Linked DNA regions of Coturnix japonica. The protein of the gene in region 2 interacts with the protein of the main gene of each other region in a pairwise test. Links are inferred from orthologs where the notes say so. Each region holds a gene or a part of one and is shown on either strand. Other genes may lie near its edges.

Region 1 (3,651 bases), on a different chromosome or scaffold from region 2:
TTCAACATCCATTGTACCTATATTTGTCAAAGTATCATTTTACTTTAATTTCCTCAAGCTCCCGTCATTGCTCCCTCCCATTCCCAAGGGCACACACTCTTCTATGACTGGCCTCTCGTATCATATTGTCAACTCAGGCCAGTAACTGGATCATTTACTGATGATTTAATATATTAAAATGTACCATGAATTTCTTATATCATAAATGATTGCCAGTTGTCTTAGTTGTTGATAATTAAATAAAATTCTTAAGTACATCACCTTAACAATTACCTTAGTCACAGACATCTGAATCTAAAAAGTTATTCATTCTCTTCAAAACAGGAAGTAGATGTTTATACAGTGAAGACTGAAGAACTGGCATTTACTTCAGCATTCTGCCTCCAAATTCAGCGTAATGATTACATTCATGCATTGGTCACCTATTTTAATATTGAATTTACAAAGTGCCACAAGAAGATGGGATTTTCTACAGGTAATCTGTACTTCTGTTCCATTTCTGTTTCAAGCTGTTTGTCAGTACTACCAGTAAGATGGTACATGAGGGTTTACCGTAACAATAAGTTTTCATTTCAGTGATAAAAACTACACCTTGATGGAAGTGATCAGGATGGAGAAAGGACAATTGTAGGAATTCTGCAAAAGAAGTGGCACAATAGCTACCAGTCTTACAGCTCAGAAAGAATTATAATCCTGGAGTTCATGCTCATCAGCAGCTATATCCTAATCCTGTATCATGTTTCTTGTAGGAAACAAGAATTAAGGGATTGTTGCCTCAGTGAGAAATAGCAGCTCTAGGTCCCAGCTTCCATGAAATCTGAAACTCCACAAATGTTTCTTGCTTTTCTCAGAATCTAAAGCAAAATTATCAGTTTTTCAATAACACACATATTGCTTATGTAAATTTGCTCAATCAACTCATACATGAAACTCTAACTTACCTAGGTGAGCAGATATTTAAAGGAATAATTCCATTCCTGTGAGGAATGGTTTGACAGAGTGAATAAACCAGTTTTGCAAGAAATGCAGAAATCTTGTAACTGCTTTAATGATGAGAACAATAAGCAATAATTGCTGGTTGTTACTCGCACCATTTGTGTCACTGGAATCTAATGTAAGTTATGAGCTTTTAGAAATATTTTCTTTTTTTTTCCCCCTTTTTTCCTGTTTTTTTCCCCTTACAGCAGCTTTCAGCTCTTCACCAAGAGTCAAAACTTATGTTTTATTCTTCTAGAATAACCATAGGGAAGCTATTATTTGGTACCTCAGATTCTTATATTTTTTCATCAAACACATTTCCCTGGTCATTCTATAAAGCCATTGCAGTGCAATATTTCTCACACTGTTACAGGTATCAGTGACCAATGACAGGCAAAATTACCAGTGCAAATTCACTAGGGACTGCTTAAACTTTTGTATTTAAATCAAGGATAAAAACAAATATGCAAAACAGAAAAAAATAAACTTGCTGAAGAGAAATGACAACTAAAACAAACAGTACCAGTCAATTAAAGTTTAGAGATGTAGTAAAAGCAGAATTAAACAAAGTAATTCCTGATCAGCCAGCCCTACACAATAGAAAGAAATCTGTGAAATAAGTATCCAAATAGACTAATGGCCAAGGCAGAGTAAAAAATAAAATAATAATTCCTTTTTTCCTACACTAGAGTAATACATTAACAAGCAGAAGGGAACGACTGGTTACATCATTCAAAAACATGCTTGAAACAGTCACAGTATCACAGTGTCACAGTCTCGTGCGGGTTGGAAGGGACCTTAGAGATCATCGAGTCCAACTCCCAGGATTCGAGTCTCCTGGGCAGCAGCGCGGCACTTCTACCACTTGCGCCACAAGGGGGATTCGAACCCGGGGCTACGGTGTTGCAAGCGGCATTCCTACCACTGCACCACCGGGGCACACAGTCATTCCAAAAGCAGTCATGTCACAAGCAGGTGCTAATTGCAGCTTTATGTAGGTGTTGTCAGAGTGATATTGAACTTCTCTCTAGTTGCCCTGAAGTTTGGGGCCAACTGTATGCAACATCATTTACATTCTCCTATACTGAAACAAGATAAAAGGCAGTTCTCACCTATTTTAGGACAAGATCACCTTTCTTTGGCGGCAGTCACTTCTTCCTATTAAACTAGATGATGATTTAGCATTGTCATCTCTCTTTGAGATTAACTTCATTTCGTAATGTAGTATTAGGACAACAGGCAAGAGTTCTAAGTTTTGGATAATCCCTCTCAGGTCTCCCTAACTTGAAAATGCAAGCATTTCTGAACAGCAAGTAGAGCAATACTGGAAATTTTGAAGCATGATTGCAAAGTGTGTGCTGCTGTCCTCAGGATTTATAGTATTTTTGTTCTCCTCCAAATATAATGAACAGCAATGGAGGTTTTTTGGGGGGGAAGAAGAAGTCTAAATACAAAATAGTTTAATAGAATGTGCTCAGTCCTGAATAAAAATATAAAATGAAGACAAACCAAAGCAAGCATTCAATTCTAATAAACTTAATTAATTAAAATACTTGTGCAAAGGAACCCCAGATTTAACTAAGACTAGCACTTGGCAAAATCTGTCATTTAGTTCTAAACTCAGAGGGCATCAAAGCAGTTCTACTAAGTGAGACTAGAAATTCATTTGGATTGGTATCCATCTCTGTCAATCATCCATAGCATATGCTGTTAGAAAAAAAAAGAAAGAAGAGGTTGAAATGCCCTTTCCCCAGACATGTTCTCCTGAAAATCTGATTTATATTCATTCAGTATCATGAATCAAAGGTTTTTTCGTCACCATGTTTAGCATTTTATGCATATTCCTTTGTGATTTTCTGTTTTTGAATTAATCTATACTTCTGACATTCAAATTACATAGCAGTAAAGATTTTCCCAACTTGAATGTGTGTAAGTTAATAGGAATACATAAAGGAAGTGCCTGTCATACTCCCTAATATTCTTCATGGAATCCCTCTTTCTGAGTGTAATCACTTCTGACATGTTCCAGTTAAACTTAGATGACATACCACTATGAGTCAATAGAATTGTGTTGCTATGATTGTCCTGCTTAAGTTCAACTGTGTATTGTATATGAGTTAAAAGTATTCTAGGCCTTTTTTCAATTGTTTGCAAATCTTCATTTGATTTATAAGACAATGACCAAATTTCTTTAAATAATGCCTATATATGTTTTCTAGCACCTGATGCTCCCTATACTCACTGGAAGCAAACTGTTTTCTACTTAGAGGACTATTTAACTGTGAGACGAGGAGAAGAAATCTATGGGACTATATCCATGAAACCAAATGCAAAAAATGTGGTAAGTCAGCATCATTGCTTCTAATTCCAGCTCTACTGATGACAAATGATAATCAGCAGTAAATAAAATGTGTATAAGTAAAACGAGTATGCAAAAAACACTAAATTTGTGTATTTTATTAATTAGCTGTATTCATAGCTTTGCCAAAGCTGGTGACTGTAATGATAATCTAGTTCTTACATTACAGAAGACAGCTTGCAAAGCAGCTAGCAAGGGAAGGAAGAAATTGTCCAGCTACATCACCAAGTCAACTGCCCTCTGAAATAATCTAGAGTCATATTTTGTGAAAAAAAGCAGGCAAGGGTTTCTTCATACTGTCACTAAAATCAGAA
Region 2 (3,651 bases):
AACACCTGTCTTCTGTTATACACAATTCAGTTTAAGAATTCACAGATGCAATCTGTAGAGGAACTTGAGTTTCTTTCTGTGCTGCTGTGAAAGGATTACTTACCCTTGCCCATTGTGAGCTGGACATAATCGTAACTTTTCATAGTTCCACAAAAAATCTAAAGAAACTTGTATTAAGAAACAGGCTTGAACAAAAACCAAAGGTAGTTGTTGGCTGTTGCATGAAGGCAGTCTAGGGAACACAGTTATAGTGCAAAGTAATTGAGTATATCTCATAAGAATGTTCTAAATGTCAAAGAACATACCACGTTACTAGGTGTTACACTTTTAGAAGTGAAGTATTTGATAGTGCTGCTGTTGGAGATGAAAGTTATCCAACTAATGGTTATCTGTGGTTTTTTTTTCAGTACAACAATCACGAAATTCGCTCTGGGAAACACATCGGTGTATGCATCTCTGTTGCCAATAATAGACTTTTTGTTGGTTCCATCCCTAAGAGTAAAACCAAGGAGCAAATTGTTGAAGAATTCAGCAAAGTAACAGGTAACGCAGTAACTGTTGTATTGAGCTGGGAAGTGTCGGATGTGATCAGTAATGAACTTTCTGCCATCTTTATCTTGTTGAATGATGATGACTGATAGGACTCAGCATTTCCCTTGACTTTGGGGATTTATGGGTTGTTGTTTAATGTACTGTGCCAAGGGCTGAAATCTGTAATTAGACTTGGTGTGTAGGTCCAGTTTTACTGAGACACGTGTAATGTTTAGAAAGGCCATTCAAACAAACGTGTGGTTTAATTCTTTCAGTGCTAACAGGTATTTCAGAAACTTTTCAAGACAGAACTGAAGCAGATTGGAGAACATAACTAGTTTTGTGCTTCAGAATTGCTAGCGTTCTGATAAGGATCTATTTTTGTTAATAGCATATAGACTTGAAAAGGTAATGTTGTATGGTTTCTGTTACTGAATGCTGTACTTAAGGTTTCCTGGAGCAACACTGAAACAATTTAGAAGTATTGAAATCATGCAAGTTTAACCTTCTGTTCTTTGGACATCCATGGAAAAAGCACATGCTGATAAGTGTTGTGACATAGGGGTTTGAGAGGAGTTACAAAATGCAACTTTATGGCTGCCCTCTCTCCTCTGGTCAGTGAGAAGAAAGGTATTCTTCCATAGTTTCTAAGCTTTCCTCACTTAATAAAAGGGTTGCTAAGCTGGGATAGACTAACATCCTTTTGGAGATGTTGCTCTTGAAAGTGTGGAAACTTTAATATGTTCATAGGCTCAAAAGTCCAGCATGATCATGCTTTTTGGAACCACTAGTTAGATGTGTACTTCCCAGAAACATAATCTCTACTTGTGAACATCAAGTCATAGACTAAAGCTATAACAAATAAATTCTTTGCTTAATTTCAGAGGGCCTTACAGATGTTATATTGTATCATCAGCCTGATGACAAGAAAAAGAACCGGGGTTTCTGTTTTCTTGAATATGAAGATCACAAAACTGCTGCTCAAGCCAGACGTAGGTTAATGAGCGGCAAAGTGAAAGTCTGGGGAAATGTTGTTACAGTTGAATGGGCCGACCCTATAGAAGACCCAGATCCTGAAGTCATGGCAAAGGTAATAAAGCTGTAAGAGAAACGTAGTAGAATTAAAATACCTTGTTCCAGAGTAAGTATTTCCTGATATTAGCCCAGGTTTAAATAACATCTGTCAGTCTTCTTGAATATAGATGTGAATTTTTAAATAACTACTGTCTGATGTTATCTCATTCTCCCAAGGAAGAATTGGTCCATCTGCTGGTGTACTTAATTTCTCCTCTGGAAGTGGATGTAGTGACTCCAAAAACACAAATAGCTTTTGTAGTTTAGGATTTGATTGCACAGAAATTTGGCTATGGTCAGAGAACAAGCCTGAATGATTTGTAACCCTGGAAATGCATGTTTATAACTTAAGAAGTGAAACATTTAAGATGTGCAGATTGGACTTTTCAGAGATGTAGCAATAGCTTTTGAGAAGATGACCAATTATTTTGTACTTTGAACTATGTATTTTTTTTTTTCCTTTCTTCATTACTTTGGCAGAGTGTTAATTCCTTAAAATGTTATGACTGGATTTTGAGTATTTCAGTTAAGCTTAAGTCTGAACTCTAAACATTGTGAAGTACACTGCAACACTTCCATTATACATATGATATTTTGCCATAGGAATTGATTGCCTGATTTTTTTTCTTCCCATCAGATAATGTCCAAGTCTGTTGTTTTCAGTTCTGTTGTGTAGCTGGGTTGTTTGATAGAAACTCATAGCTAGCTCTTATCCTCATCTCTTCACTTGCTTTTTGCCCGTGCTTTTATTTTCACCTGAGACAAATCACTTGCTGGAGTCTTGCTTTGTTGGGCCTAGTAAGATGACTTGGCTGAGAATCTCCTCTTTGCTGGTCCATAAGAAAAAAGGGCTGGAGCAGGGGCTCACTTTTAGGGGAAAAAAATAATCTGCTTTTGTAGTAAGGGCATTGCAGAAGCATTTTGGAGTACCCTGTTTTCAGGCTTTGTTTTTCTTGCTATGTATTGTAGTTGATCAGCAACAGGAAAGAATCTGTTGAGAGTGGCACTTCCTGCATCTCTGTCTGAATTTCTTGGCTCAAAAGAGAGCCATCCTAATCCAACATACTGTTAAACTAAAGAACCTCTGATGACTTGGTCACATAGTTAAGTGGGAGGTGGAAGGGACATCAGTCCCTATCAGTGTCTTTCTGTGGTAAACTTGCAAGTGTAAGGAATGGAAGACTGAAGAAATTAAAACTTGGTAGTGTTTTGTCCCGTATAATTTTTTTAAGGTGTCACCCTTTCAATACCTTGTGTTACTTTATATTTAAGTGGGAACCGTGTAGGGTTTGTGTAGGGAGCCTGCTTTGGCAGGGGGGTTGGACTCGATGATCTCTAGAGGTCCCTCACAACCCCTACAATTCTGTGATTCTGTAACTACAGGTTGGTTATCGGTGTTCCCAGCCACTGCCCTTCATGAGCAAAGGGAGAGTGCTTGACTCTTGTATGCTTCCTTTGGTAGAAGGCTCTGGGAGGAGTGCTGTAAGAGTAGAAGGTTGCTTTTATCAGGGCAATTATTTGATCTGCAGTTTTCTCATCCAAACTACTAGAAAATAAAGTCCATAAGAGCAAATGGTGTTGAAGGCAGATTTACCTTGAATTAGCCAGGGTATGAAAGTGATGTTTGAAATACCTAGCAAAAAAGCTTTTTTATAACTTTTAAGTAGTTGTGCTGATAGTTTTCTCCTAAGCAGCATTTTGATGCTGCTCATGTTTTAAATTATTTCTGTAGCGTGGTTGTGGGTACAGAGCATGTGCTGGATTGGCAGCTTAAGTAGCTAAATAAAGTCTGGTTCTCATGGCTGTGTGGTAGATGATAGGGCAGGAAATAGGGATACTAACCCCTGGAGAATGTAGTAACAGAGTTTGAAGTGCTTGTGCTGTAGGTAGGAGGAGGAAAAGGACCAGATTCAGACTTTCTGGGGGTAGTTCAATCTTGAGCAGTTCACAAGTGGGTCCTGCATTTATTACACAATGCTGCTGTGCATTTGCATGCCGAATAGCAGGGTATATTTGTTGTTAGATGTGTATTGGTGAATTCTTGGT

What was found.
Region 1: the proteins of SYNCRIP (region 2) and PRMT8 interact in binary tests that used the Homo sapiens proteins (3 or more experiments, as listed by UniProt). The link is inferred for Coturnix japonica from reciprocal best matches to the Homo sapiens genes SYNCRIP and PRMT8.

Annotation. Positions count from the first base shown.
Region 1 is NC_029516.1:68,118,370-68,122,020, forward strand, and holds part of PRMT8 (protein arginine N-methyltransferase 8), read left to right. Parts: intron 1-324; coding exon 325-475; intron 476-3,197; coding exon 3,198-3,319; intron 3,320-3,651. UniProt on the Homo sapiens protein: S-adenosyl-L-methionine-dependent and membrane-associated arginine methyltransferase that can both catalyze the formation of omega-N monomethylarginine (MMA) and asymmetrical dimethylarginine (aDMA) in proteins such as NIFK, myelin basic protein, histone H4, H2A and H2A/H2B dimer.
Region 2 is NC_029518.1:70,025,700-70,029,350, forward strand, and holds part of SYNCRIP (heterogeneous nuclear ribonucleoprotein Q), read left to right. Parts: intron 1-407; coding exon 408-543; intron 544-1,415; coding exon 1,416-1,621; intron 1,622-3,651. UniProt on the Homo sapiens protein: Heterogenous nuclear ribonucleoprotein (hnRNP) implicated in mRNA processing mechanisms. Component of the CRD-mediated complex that promotes MYC mRNA stability.